2 linked regions of the Lonchura striata genome follow. The protein of the gene in region 2 purifies or fractionates together with the protein of the main gene of each other region. This does not show direct contact. Links are inferred from orthologs where the notes say so. Each region holds a gene or a part of one and is shown on either strand. Other genes may lie near its edges.

The links. Proteins that work in one complex are often made in the same cells at the same time.
Region 1: the proteins of YAP1 (region 2) and RPL7 purify together in Homo sapiens (affinity purification with mass spectrometry, with the first as the bait; 3 studies listed by BioGRID). This does not show direct contact. The link is inferred for Lonchura striata from reciprocal best matches to the Homo sapiens genes YAP1 and RPL7.

What each region holds. Positions count from the first base shown.
Region 1 is NC_134603.1:32,484,219-32,491,282, reverse strand, and holds the start of RPL7 (large ribosomal subunit protein uL30), read right to left. Parts: upstream 3,001-7,064; 5' UTR 2,907-3,000; coding exon 2,893-2,906; intron 1,809-2,892; coding exon 1,706-1,808; intron 1,032-1,705; coding exon 865-1,031; intron 227-864; coding exon 89-226; intron 1-88. Other genes in the region: RDH10 (retinol dehydrogenase 10), read left to right, coding at 5,760-6,051, 6,519-6,757.
Region 2 is NC_134604.1:42,218,596-42,226,132, reverse strand, and holds the start of YAP1 (transcriptional coactivator YAP1), read right to left. Parts: upstream 3,003-7,537; 5' UTR 2,745-3,002; coding exon 2,421-2,744; intron 1-2,420. Other genes in the region: CFAP300 (cilia- and flagella-associated protein 300), read right to left, coding at 3,735-3,866. UniProt on the Homo sapiens protein: Transcriptional regulator with dual roles as a coactivator and corepressor. Critical downstream regulatory target in the Hippo signaling pathway, crucial for organ size control and tumor suppression by restricting proliferation and promoting apoptosis.

The DNA of each region.
Region 1 (7,064 bases), on a different chromosome or scaffold from region 2:
CCCCGCAAGTCCAGCATAGCAAAATGCAAAACCTGCTCAACACTTGCACCCTAATAAGGTACAACTGGGCCTTGGGCCTTTCACTCACCCCCAGGCAATGTAGGGTTCAACAATCCGCAACATGTTGATGGAGGCTTTGTTGAGTTTTACAAAGGTGCCATTAAAAATCTGACGCAGGCGAAGAAGTTGCAGAACCTTGCGAACCTTAGGGCTGACACCGTTGGTACTGGAGAAGAAAGTGAAACAGTCTGAATTATCAACATCCCAGGCAGCTAGGCATCAGGCTAAAAAACAACCCCTAAACACAACAGCACTGTTCCCATATGAAAACACATTTCATGAATTACAAAAAGCAAGCTTAGTAAATTAACTGACTATTGCTATACATTCCAGTATAAAGTTAAAACATCCATTTCCATGAAAATAACGGTAAGTATTATACTGAAACAATTGAGAACCAGCCTTGCACTGTCCTGAACATAATTCTTCCAATCACATCTATTTTTTAGTTTTCTGAACACTTTACCAGAGTACAACAAAACAAACACTTGAAGAACAGTTCAGCAGAATATTTGGGAATAGAGCATGTAGTTTTATGAAGTTAAAGGTGAGAAAGAATAATTGCCTGCATGTATTTTCAGCTTTGTCTTCTTAAAAATCAGGTATTCCTAAAGCAGGCAGCAAAATTATTTAGCCCTTCAACACCCCTCAAGAGCATGTACAGTATCTACCAACAACTTCTCAAGCCACTGGTAGAAAGCTTATCTTGTTGATATATTTAAGCCCTCAAAACAGAGAGATAACAGGAAAGCCAAAGTCAGTAATTTTGAACATAAAATTGCCTGTATCTGTACACAACCTTACCCTCTTATCCTGATCACAAATGCCAGTTTTGGCTCAGCTGGGACGTAGTAATTGCCAGCTTTCCGGGCCATCCTGGCCATACGGATCTCCTGCCTGTACATATGCCTGTACTCCTTGTGGTAAGCCTGGGCTCTTGCATAGATGAGCTTCCTTTGTGCCTTGCGGTACTGCAATAAATTGGAAATTACTTAAAGTTACAAAATGCCTTTTAACACATGAAAATCACCTTTGAGTAACATGCCATGTTCTAGAACTTCCCCCAAGTAACACAGATCAGTATCACACAGCTCAGAACAACCCTCAGTGATGCTCCAGAGAACCTGGCAGGCTATTACACAGCAACCGATGTTACTACTCCTGACTACTCATCAGCACTGTGGCGATGAAGAATAATGGGTACAAATTGAAAGACGAAAAATTTAGCTTAGACATTAAGGAAGAAATGCTGTATTAAGATGGTGAGACACTGGAATGGGTTGCCTGGGGCAGCTGTGGATGGGCCAACCCTAACCGTGTTCAAAGCCAGGTGTGACTGGATCTTTGGCACAGAGGTTGGAGCCAGGTGATCTTTAAGACCCCTTTCAACCTCTGACAGTTCTAGGATTCTCTAATCACACATCAAGCTCCCCCTTACAAAGGCTATAACCTCTTGCCCTGTACAACATTACAGACACTTTACTCTTAACTCTGCCCAAAACTTTGTTATCAGCCACTAAAAACCAATTTTAGTCTAAAACTTAAAGAAATACTGACATACTGTGAATTTCTGTACTGCATCAGAGCAGCAGCAGCTGCTACTGCAGCAGATAAGCAATTTGAGTCAAGGGATCAGAGGATATACCTTTTTTATAGCCAAGATCTTCTTCTGACGTTTGGCTTTCATGACCGCGTAGGCCTGCCGCTTCTTCAGCAGGCTCTCAGGCACAGAGGGCACCTTCTTTACTCTAAACGGAAACAGAAATAAAAGCTTTTAGCTGGTAGAAAGAAACTCAGTAGCAGTGCAAATATCAAAATCCTCAAGCATAACATGTGTGCAGGCCTTGCTACCTTGAGCCACTTCACTGCATCTTCCTCATCCTCACTGTTCCCAGGCCTGGAAGAGCATCCCGGGACAGCTCCCTGGGACTGAACTGGGTGATTTTCTGCTTCAGAACATGCACCATTCACATTTTGTACCGGACAAGAAACCCTGACAGACACAACCGTAACTACAAAGACTGTCCTCCCTTGCTAAGAAAACAAAGTTGTTTTCATGATAACTTCTCTCTGATCAATATACACTTCAACAGGTGCTTGAACAGGAAAAGCTTATTTGGAAGTACCGTGTCATTTATTAGACAGGACTCTCAGCTTGCTCAGACTATCACAGGTGGGTGATGTCGGAAGGAAACACAGCGGGTCATCCGGTCCCACCTCCCTGCTCAAGCAGGACCGTCCCAGAGCACACGGCACAGGCTGCATGGTTCTGAACACCCCTAAAGAGGGAGACTCCACAACCTCCCTGGACAACCTGTTCCAGTGCGTGGTCACCCGTACGGAAAAGAAATTCCTCCTCAACTTCAGGCAGAGCTTCCTAAACATCACTTTGTACCCCGTTCCTTCTCGTCACGGAGACTTTAAACTCTTAGACACGACAAAACTTGTCAACACAGCGTTTATAGAGCCACAGTCACCCTAACGAGCGCCTACACCAGGCCGACGGACAGTCGCTCCCAGCTCCAACCCCAACACAGCCCTGCCCGCTCGCCCAGTCGGGAGGAACTCGCCGCCCCGGCCCCACATTCCCGGCCACGGCTGCGCTCGGGGCCCGCTCTCCCTCTCCACCCCGCCGAGGGCCGGCGGCCGCAGCCGCCGCCTGCGGGAGGGCCGGGCCGGTGGTGGCTCCATCTCCGCCGCGCCGCTCCCTCCCCTCCCACCGCTCCCAGCCCCTGCGGAGGCGCGGCGGCCCCGGGGGCGGCAAGGGCAGGGCTCGGGCGGCGCGGATGGCCGCGGATGGCGGTGGATGGCAGCGGGCAGGACGGGACTCACTCCTTGTCCGCCATGGTCAGCGCCGGAAGAGAGGGGCCTGCGCCTGCGCGGCGCGCTCTTAGCTCATTGGCCCGCGCAGCCGAGGCCCTGCCCTCCGGCAGGACCCCGCGTTTGGACGTCCTCCGTTGTGCCCGACCGCCGTGCGAGTGCCGGGGTGTCCAGCGAGTGCCTGAGGTAAAAGTGTCCGGGAACTGCTTCCGCCCAGCAGGGCTGGAGACGGCTGTGTCCCGGGATCGGCTGTGTCCCGGGATCGGCTGTGTCCCAGAACCGGCTCTGTCCCGGGATCGGCTCTCTCCCGGGATCGGCTGTGTCCCGGGATCGGCTGTGTCCCAGAACCGGCTCTGTCCCGGGATCGGCTCTCTCCCGGGATCGACTGTGTCCGGGGATCGGTTCTGTCCCGGGATCGGGCTGTGTCCCGGGATCGGCTCTCTCCCGGGATCGACTGTGTCCGGGGATCGGTTCTGTCCCGGGATTGGCTGTGTCCCGGGATCGGTTGTGTCCGGGGATCGGTTGTGTCCGGTAATCGGGCTGTGTGCCGGGATCGACTGTGTCCGGTGATCGGGCTGTGAGCCGGGATCGGGCTGTGTCCCGGGCTCGGCTGTGTCCCCAGCACGGGCTGTGTCCCGAGATCGGTCTGTGTCCCGGGCTCGGTCTGTGTCCCGGGCACGGTCTGTGTCCCGGGCTCGGCTGTGTCCCGGGCTCGGCTGTGTCCCGGGCACGGTCTGTGTCCCGGGCTCGGCTGTGTCCCCAGCACGGGCTGTGTCCCGGGCTCGGCTGTGTCCCGGGCTCGGCTGTGTCCCGGGCACGGTCTGTGTCCCGGGCTCGGCTGTGTCCCGGGCTCGGCTGTGTCCCCGGCACGGGCTGTGTCCCCGGCACGGGCTGTGTCCCCAGCACGGGCTGTGTCCCCAGCACGGGCTGTATCGCGGGCCGGGCGGGAACCGCTCCGCCACCAGACCCGCCTTCCCTGCAGGAGGCTGAGCAGGAGCCCCGGGTGGGTGCTGCCAGCCGTCTTGTCTGAGGCAGGATTTCCCGTTTCAGCCTTAAACCCCGTCCTTCGCGCCCGCGGGACGCCACCTCCCGCCCGCGCTCAGCACCGCGGCGGGAATGGAGGCTGGATGGGAATGCTGCCCTGCCCGCAGGATGGTTCACCGGCACGCACGGGCAAATGGCAACCACGGGATCCGTTTCTGCCGGGATGGGTTTTCATCAGGCTGGACATCTTTTCGGTTCGCCATACAGAATCAGTAACTGCAGTGTAGAGAAGGGAGGGTGGCTCAGGAAGCAGCGCTGCCCAGCACAGCAGCTTGGAAGGCTGCTTAAGGCTGTGGCTCCTAAGTCTCATCCTGTGCGCGCCTACCTGTGCGCCGAAAATCACCCTGAGAGGTGATTTTCACACGGGGAGAAGAGAAATTAGTGGAACTCTTAGCAGCAAAGCACTATCCGGTATAAAAAACCGTGTAGACAGCAGGGCGGGGCATAAGGAATGCCGAGCTCTGCATTTACTGACCTTATTTGTTGCCAATTAACAGCACGCAGAGGTGTCGCACAGCACTAACGCCTGAGAACGTTATTGAGAGTGCTTTGTATCAATGTTCATTTTTTTACTATAATGTTATTTTGTGCTAATACAGACATTTGTATCACTTGATCTTATTAGCAATATTATAGGGGGGGGGGGGGGGGATTAAAATCAGCACGCAAAACCACCCGCAAATATCTACTGAAGAAAGAAGTCTGCACTTTCTTCTGAAACTTTTGAACTTGAATTTCTGCTCAATCCGAGAGGCAGCGTTCACAAAGTTCCAACTTTTCTGACAACTGGCAGCTACACAGGGAAGACAGCGCAGCGTCGTGCACTTAAGGCACAGGGATGCAGGCGAGCAGAGGCAGTGGGATGAGTCCTGCACACCCAAGGGCACGCTCTCGTCCTCATCCTCTGGAACTGGCAAATGGAGGAGCGGGATGCTCCGGCGCCGGGTGGCCGCAGGGAGCCCAGATACAGGGAGCGGCCGCTGTTATCGCACAGAAGAAAATACTTTCCGTGTGCTGGCACCTGTGAGCTCCTATTTCAGTCCGTGGCGGGTGAGATATCAGTGACCTCTGTACTTGGCTGACAGACCAAGAAGTCATGGGCGTTTCCCTCAGCGGTTTCTCACAGCTCAGCAGAGAATCCCCAGGCACGCGGGCATCGTGCATCCTGCGGTAGCCCAGTGGTTCCTGTGGGCTCCCAGCTTCCCTGCGTCTCTAGCCCCGAGCACGAACCTCCAGCGCCCGTCCGCGTCCCTCCAACCCGCGCCGCGGCATCGCGCCCGAGATGGCGCTCCGGCGGGGCGCGGCGCACCCCGGGACTTGTAGTCCTGGGGCGGGCTGGAGCCGCCGGGAGCCGCCGGGACGCCCGCCCCCAGCAGCGCAAAGCACCGGCTGTCCCGTCCCCGTTCCCGTCGGGGACCTCCCCCGGCGGCGGGGCGGAGCGGGACAGGGGCGGGGGGTCCCGGGAATGCGGGGCGGGATGGGCCGGCCCGGGGGAGGGGCTCGGCCTCCCGGTCCGCCCTATATAGAGGGGCCGAGCGAGCAAGATGTTCACTGCCAGTAGCGGGGCCGCGGGCGGGACGGGGCAGGGCGGGCAGGCGGTGGGCAGGCAGGCGGTGGGCAGGCAGGCAGCGCCGTGTCCGGGCTCCGTCCTCGGCGTGTGTGACTGAGGCGGGCGCGGGCTGCGAGCGGCGCGGGGGGGGGCAGCTCGGCGGCGGGACCCCCGTGAGCGGAGCCTCCCGCGGTGCCCGCGGCGGGCGGTCCGGGCAGCGGCGGCTCCAGCTCCGGGAGCCGGGCGGCCAGGAGGCTCCGTGCCGCCGGCCCCGCGGTCCGGCAGCATGAACATCCTACTGGAGTTCTTCGTGGTGACTTTCCGAGTGCTGTGGGCGTTCGTGCTGGCCGCGGCCAAGTGGCTGGTGCGGCCCAAAGAGAAAAGTGTGGCGGGGCAGGTGTGCCTGATCACCGGGGCGGGCAGCGGCCTGGGCCGCCTCTTCGCCCTGGAGTTCGCCCGGCGCCGGGCGCTTTTGGTGCTGTGGGACATCAACACGCAGAGCAACGAGGAGACGGCGGGCATGGTGCGGCACATCTACCGGGAGATGGCCGAGGAGGCGGCGGCCGCCGCCCCCGGAGGTAAGCGGCGGGGCTCCCCGCGCTGTCCCCGCCGCTCACCTGCCCGGCCCGGGGCAGGGGGAGCCGGGGCTGCGCCCGGCGGGTCCAGCCCGGAGCAGCGCTCACCTGCGGCGGGCCCTGAGAGCAGCTCCGGGCTGGAGACCGCCGGGCGCAGAGTGTCAGACGCCCCGACGGTGCTCCTGCGAGCCAGAGCCGGCCCTGTGCCGGCAGCGATGAGCGCAGACCTGCTTCGCGGAGCCTCGGACCCCAGCAGCGGCTTTAAAACCTGCAGCTCTTCCTAAAACACGTAGCGGCGTTAGTAAATAGCTGACTCCTGGTGTACTGCAATGACACCAAAGTAAATAAAAGTTTTGGCGGTTTGAAATTGTATTTGCTATTTCTGCTTGAACTACTTGTTTGAATGTCAATATATGAGCAAGAACCTTATTGCCCCCCACCCCTTCTGTTCTTTTATCTGTATTCTTTAGTGGCTGGAGATGGAGAGAAAGATGTGCTGCCCCATTGCAACTTGCAGGTTTACACGTACACCTGTGATGTGGGCAAAAGAGAGAATGTCTACTTGACAGCTGAGAGGGTCCGTAAGGAGGTTGGCGAGGTGTCTGTCCTGGTTAACAATGCTGGTGTGGTCTCCGGGCACCATCTTCTGGAGTGTCCTGATGAGCTTATTGAGAGGACCATGATGGTTAACTGTCACGCACACTTCTGGGTAACTATAAACTCCTTTCTGCTGCCCTTGTTGGTAATTAATTTTGGGAAATGAACTGCTGTTGCAGAACTCCTGTCTCCTTGAGGTTTGTACTTGTTCTTTTTTACTTGTAGGATTACTGCTTTGGGTGTTTCTTGTTTTGAATTCACTGTTCTGTTTAACAGGAATGCTGGTATTAAGATTGTTAACAAATAGTTTTTAATCAGCTGTATCCTCCTAGAATCCAGAGTTCTAAGTCTTCTGGCCATTTCTGTAGCTTTGGGTATTAAATCCTTTACAAGCAATAATCTCTGAATCTGCTTAAAGG
Region 2 (7,537 bases):
GTTCCAATGGAGGAAGACTTATTAATTCAACCATTACAAAAAACCTAAACAAGACTGAATGTAACATTTCCTAATAACTAAAATTTTTAAGTCAAACTTTTACAGTCTATCCATGCTTTATCCAAAGCAAAGCTTCAGCAAAAGGTTGAACCAGTCAATCAGAAATGACCCACAAACCCATTCACAGAAGTCACCACTCATAAATATACAGAAAGTCCTTGCCAGTACTAAATATATGCCCAACATGGAACAGAAAAGGCAGGTCTAAAAACCTGGTTAAAGTAAAATTGGCTTTTAAAAATATATTTACCAATTAACTGGTTTTATAGACAGACCAGAACAACATTGGCATCTATAATGAGATGCATGTATCAATCCCTGTCACACCTCTCTACAAGGTATTGCACCATAAGAGGACCCACTTACACACTGTTACACTTCTGCTTCACTCCCTCACACTTCATGTGTGCAAGCACATGAAGTTCCATGTGTTCAAATGGAAACCTTCAAGCACACATGAAGTTCCATGTGTTCAAGTGGAAACAAATCAGTTTTCACTTATATGCAGACAAAAGAAGCAAGTAGTAAATCAAGTGGAATTATAATATTTTAACTCCTGAGAATCACAGAATTATAGAAAATAGAAATCTTTTCTTTAAGCAGAATGTTTATGTGGCACAACTAAACAAAAAGGAAAAATGAAAATAGTCCACAATGAAGCAAATGATTCTCTCTTGCTTTAGCTGGATTCCAAGTTTATGTTTTAGGAACCACTGAGTGGTACTAGGAACAGAGATCGAACTAAGTATGATTTACAGGCAAAGATTAACATACACAAGGAATGTAAGGCTAAGCCTAAAAGTACAACCGAAAGTTGTATGACTATCACACACTTTTAGAGCATTTCAAACATGTTAGCTATTTAACTGCAGTTAATGTATTTAACAAGACACAGCACCAAGTGTTAGACAAATGCCTACCCATTCAGATTTGTACACAATGGAACCGCAATGAGATTTGCACAAGTTGGGAGAACACTATACATAAACCCTTATTCCTTGCTGGATTTCAGTACATTATTAAAGGTCTGCAACTCAAAAGCTAGCAAAACTAAAGAGGCAGATCAGCTCCACCCCTTCCAATTTCTTTTCAGTCTTCCTATATGAAGGCCAGACTGCTTTTTTTGAGTATTTGGAAAATGAATTAACTCCTAGGCTGTGAGAGTACGTGCCAAGGTTCAGCCTGGAATGAACTTCTGAAGTCAAGCTATAAATCGTTCAAAACAGAAGTTTAATAATGGAAATGTTGACAGACCCTTAACAACACGGGTACCAGGCACCAGTACACAGCGAGTTTCACCCTTACTGGCTACATAGATAAAGTGACAACAGCCAGTAATACAACCTATTTTATAGCTTAGTAACTAAGTTCATTACTTAATAACACTTGACTAGGTAGGCACAGTCTCCATCCAAAACGCTGGTTAACATCATTAGCTTTCGCTCGTATTCACACCAGCACTTAGGTCTTGGTACAAAAATCCCTCTGCTTAAACACCAAACGCTGCCGGAGGCCAGACAGACCCTGCCCCGCAGACCCCACCCCGCTCCTCCCCGGCCCTGCCCCCGCATCGCCCCTTCCCCCCGGCCCTGGCCCGCCCCCTTCCCGGCCCTGCCCCGCATCCCTCCCCCGCTCGCTGCGGCCCTGCCCCGCATCGCTCCCTCCCCGGGCCGGCGCGGCCGAGGCCCCAGGGCTGCGAGCCCCGGCCGCAGCCTGCAGTCGCCGCTGCCCGGGGCGCGGGCGCTGCGCCCGGCGGACCCCGAACGCCGGCAGACCCGGCGTCTGCTTCGGCAATTAACTTCGGATGTGCGTGCGTGTGTACGTGGGGGGTTAATCCCACTCAAAACAGCGCCGTCCTGAAATGGTGGAAAATCACATCCATATTTACTGTCTGACGGGGCGAGGGGGTGTAGGTTTGGCACCACTTCATCGACCCCTTCTATAGAGGGCAGGGAATTGTACCGCAAAGCGACATTCCAAGCGAAGCGTTTTCACCCAAGTTTTAGGGGCTCACCCCCACGGTCGAGGCCGAGATGGCCAAGGAGCGGATGTGGAGATCGGGGCCCCGCCGGAGACAGGGACGGGGCCGGCGCTCGCCCGCCCTCCCGCCGCGGGTCCCGGCCCCGTCGGCGTCTCGGGGCGCGGGAGGCGGCCCTGCCCCAGGGGGAGAACAAATAAAGGGGTGTGGGGGCGGCGGAGAGCCCCGGCCGGGCGCCCCCCGCCCCGCTGGCGGATTCCCGCCCCGGCCCCCTCCCCCACACGCCTCCCCCGGGAGGAGCTCGGCGGGGAGGGGGAGCTCGGCCCGGCCGGGCTGCCCCCGCCCGCCCGCGGCGCGGGCCCCTGCCCTCCCTCCCCCTCACCTGGCGGGAGTGGGCCTTGGGCTCGGGCGGCTTGAAGAAGGAGTCGGGCAGTTTCCGCAGTCGCATGGGCAGCGTGTGTGGCACGTTGGCGCCCTTGGGGTTCATCACGGCGTTGAACAGCGCCTCCAAGTCGGTCTCCGAGTCGCCCCGCACATGGACGATCTGGTGCCCCGCCGGAGGGGGCCCAGCCCCCGGGGGCTGCGCCGCGCCGGCCGGGGCCCCCGACACCGGGCCAGGGGGCTGCGGCGGCGGCTGCTGCTGCTGCGGGGCCGGGGGCTGCGCCGCCTGCGGCGGCTGCTGCGTTTGAGGCTGCCCAGGATCCATGGCTCCGTCGGGACCCCCCGGCGCTTCCCTGGCGGGGCTCGGCGGCTCAGAGCCCGGATTCCCAGTCCCGCATGCCCCGCTCCCCGGGCCGCGGGTTCGTCCTGCTGTCGCCGGTGCTTCTCACCCCTCGGTCGGGAAGCCGACCCGCCCGCGGCAACTGGCAAAACAACTCCGGCCGTGCGGCGCTTCCCCGAGCCCGGCCCAGCCCGGCCGGCGCCTCTGTCCCGGCGGCGGAAACTAACTCACACAACACACCAAACAAAAGTTCGCAGTTACGCCCGCCCGAATCACTCTCCGCCGCCGGCTCCGCCCCTCCTGAGCCCGCCCGCACCGTATCCGAGCGAGGGAGCCCGTGCTCGCAGCGCTGCTGCGCGCGCCCGCCCGCACCGCCTCCCGCCCGGGGCGCTGGGGGCGCTGCGCGGCCCCGCGGACCCCGCTCCGCCCGCGGCCCGGCCCGGCTCCGCACCGCCCCGCACCGCCCGCTGCCGCCAACCAGAACTTTTATTTCTCCCGAACTTCTATCCCAACTTCCAGGAGGCCGCTTCGCCAGGGGGTTGGGAGGGGCGGCCGCGCTTCCCTGCCACCGGCCCGGAGGGGCCATCGGGCCGGGACCCCTCCCGCCGGTCCCCTCCGTGCTATCTCCCGATTCCGCTGAGCTTTCACCGACTGCAGAGTCTCCCCTGCAGATACGCGTCGCGGGTCTGTAAAGCAGGCTCATAAAAATGACGAGACCTCTAGAGAAATACTTTTTATTAAATAACACGGGTGAGGGAAGGGGGGAAACGGCCAAGAAAACAGCTTCCAGAACTACACATACCGGAAAACTACTGTCATTAACCACACATTAACATCTGAGTGAATGACAATTACTTCTGAGCACATCATCAAGGAGTAGAGCTTTCCTCGTCAGAAAACTATGCAATGTCTACCTGAGCCCAACAGAAAGAAGGCAATCTCCATTATAAAACTGGGCACCAGCCAGGTTTATAACTAGTTTGCAAATAGGCTTTCACCGAAACAGTGATACAGAATATTCACGTGTCGCTTGCAGGGATCCACAATCAAGTAGGCAAAAGTCTGTTGGTGGCTTTTGTTTGAAGGGTAACACAGGCCATTAACATCCTGAAAGGAAGAAAAAAACCAAAACCAAAACAGTATTAGGGACAACAGAGATATCTGTAAGAGAATAAAATCTGAAGTTAATAATTTTGTTCCAGTTGTAACTGTTCATTGCACAGCAAAATAAAACAAATACACTGCAGTTTATTTAAATGGTGTATTTCCCCATGAGGATCCCAACACTACAAAATGCACAGTAATTCTGACTGGATGTATCAAATAACCTTGAGGTAAATGTAATATTTATATAAAATGTAAAACATACAAGCATGTGTTTACACAATTAGAGCCTAAAATACAAATGATTACAGCTAATCACGTTGCCTTTGAAAGAGAAAAATAATCACTATATTAATACATAAAGCTGTTCCATCTGCTGTTATGTTTTTCACTTAACATTTGCTGATGCATCTGTTCAGGTTCCAATATTTGCATTTAAGCAAAACGCTTATTACAGATCACATTAACAACTTTGGACTATTATTGGAAACATTCTGTGTGCCAGTCCTCAGAAAAGGTTTGAAGGGATTCTAGACACCTAGCTGCAAAATCCTCGTTCTGAAAAAAATACATTCAGCTGACAATTAGCAGGGGAATTGGGTTCTTCACATTAACATCCTACGTCTGCACATGTCAATAAAAGCTTCAGTGTTGACAGACCAGCACAGCTGGACACACTTCAAATCCAGTAGGGATCCAAAAACTAGATGGAGGGATTTTTAAAGCATTCGGGTTTTTTATTTAGTTAGTGTGGTAATTGAACATGTGAAAGATCAATAAATATGTAGCTGACACTTCCTTTCTTTTAAAACATATAACAGTTTCCTCCTGCTCCCCAACACCTTTGTACAATAGTTGAAGAGATGTGGGTTCTGTTACACTTTTCCTGCTTGAGGGAAATTGCTACATTGCATATATTGTTCATTTTCTCCAGGAAAATTTTAAACTCACAGACTACAGACTATTCCAGATTTCACATCTTTTCATTTTTCTGTTGAAGCTGTCTTTCTTTGCATAAAAGGAAGACAGCTTTTTTTGGACCAAAGAAACATGAAAAGTGTAACCTCTTTCAGTGGTTAAGTCAGTCAGATGAGAAGGAAAAGAGCTGGGTCACCATTTCTGCACCAAGGACCAATTATGAATTTTATTCTTTAGCTGTTACTGGCACCCCGCTTTCTCCTGCTGTTTTGAAGACAATTAATCCATTATTAGATGGTCTGAGGGGATGTTTTGTTATTAGATGTTTTGGGGGATTATTCAAACCCTAAATCTTAAGATAAGCACCTCATAAAAGCACTTTTTAGACAGGTAGAGATTTGATATTTATTCCCAGAATTTTCCAATGGTAGTCAAATACCACAAGCTAGAAATAGCATTCTAATTTTAAGTGGCACAGCATATAAGCTCTGTAGCTCCAATTGCAGGATACCTAGCTTTCTTCAGGTGTTTTCTAAGGATACATGTATAACAAACACTGGATTCTCAACTGCAGTAAGGAGAGCAAATTTTTAAGATTTTATAGTGCTCAGCATCAAGAGGCCTTTGGAATTTGATCCAAAAATAACCTAAAATCATGCATGTAACTGAAGGAAAAAAAGTAACACAAGATCAGCATCAAGACATGATTGTCAGTTAAACTCTTTTCCCATTGGTACTGAGGATCCCACTCCTGCAGTCTGTGTGGAATTGATTGAGGTTTTGAGGTTGTGGCAGTTGAGATTTTGAACGAGCCCACTAAAAATTTGTTCAACAACTCAGGAACAAAAACAATTTAAGTTCTGGTGATGAGGCATTTCAAGCAATCACCAAACCTAGTATCAGGAAAATAGTTAATATAATATAATTAAATGAAAAGGTTCTTAATTTTAATGAGCAAAAGAGGTCATAAAAACCCCTAAAATGCTTGAGCATAAAGGCTCTGATATTTACATTCATGCATATACACAATTAAGAATCATACCAATTCCATCTGCAGTGTGGACTTTGGTTCATACATGCAGGGGGTGTAATGATTGATTTACTTATGTTAAAGTAGGATAATTTTATTTTTTATTTGTAGCAACACAGCTGATGATTTAAGAATACATATGCATAGCATAAAACAGAAATAAAAATACTGCTGAAGAGTCTCAAAACTGCATAATGTAATTAACAATTTTCAAAAATACTTCTTGAAAATACTTAAGCTGTAAAAGTGTTTCATTATATGCAAAGCTCCAAAGTTCTCAAGGGTATTTGGAGTTCAACAGAGTACTTTGTCACAAGATCTAAAATTATTTCTCTTGTGATGCCCAGGTCTATGAGGTTTTGATGCGGAAGAGCTCTACAGACATTTGTAAGAGAGACCTCAACAAATTGGAGGGCTGGACAATGACCAACCATATGGAGTTCAACAAGAGAAAGTGCTGGATTCTGCACCTGGGATGGGGCAGCCCTGGATGTATGGGCAGACTGGGCAATGAGATGCTGCAGAGCAGTCCTGCACAAAGGGACCTGGGAGTCCTGGTCTGTGGCAAGCTGAACATGACCAGCAGTGCCCTGGCAGCCAGGAGGGCCAACCCTGTCCTGGGGGGCATCAGGCACAACATGGCCAGCTGGGCAAGGGAGGGGATTGTCCTGCTCTGCACTGGGGCAGCCTCACCTCCAGTGCTGGGGGCAGTTCTGGATGCCACCATATAAAAAAAGACATTAAAGTATTAGAGAGTGTCCAAAGGAGGCCAATGAAGATGGTGAAGGGACTTGAGGGGAAATTGTATGAGGAGTTGCTGAGGTCACTTGCTCTGTTCAGCCTGGAGGAGACTGAGGGGAGACCTCACTACAGTCTGCAGCTTCCTTGTGAGGGGAAGAGGAGTGGCAGACACTGATCTCTGCTCTATGGTGACCAGTGACAGCACCTGAGGCAAAAGCACAAAGCTGACTCAGAGCAGGTTTAGGCTGGATCTCAGGAAAAGGTTCTTCACACAGAGGGTGGTTGGGCACTGGAACAGGCTCCTCAGGGAAGTGGTCACAGCACTAGCCTGACAGAGGTCATGAAGTGTTTGAGCAACACTCTCTGGCACACAGTGTGACCCCTGGGGATGGTGCTGTGCAGGACCAGGATTTGAACTTGAGCATCCTTGTGGGTCCCTTCTAACTCAGCATATTCTGTGATTCTGTGAATTTATTTAGAACTTTGAGATATTTACATCTCTAACAGTGTGCTTTTTTAGATACAGTTTTAAAATTGTGCTCAGCTGCACAAGTCACTTTTATGAGATCAGCTTTTTAAAATTTATTTATTTTAAAAATTATTTATCTACTTACATCAGGCTAGGAGGGTATGTCCTTTTCTTCCAGATACAAATCAAGAAAACTTGGCTTAAAAACTGTCAGAATTATAGTAACATTCTACTGTTATTTATCAAATGAACTCAGAAACTAAATCTACTGCAGTAATGTAGTTATGTCCTTGAGAGAAACTTTTCACCACAAACACAAGACATTTGTGCTCCAGTAAGTGTCCTTCTTGTAAGTGCCATGTGGACTGGAGTAGTTTTGATCCACATAACTATCAAACAGTCTAGACACATTGTTTAAACCTTTCTGTTTTCTGAGAGAAAATTCTTCAGGATGTTCTTTAATAGAAATCGTAATTTCAGAATAATTCTTCAGAATGTGTAGTAATGCATGGAGGA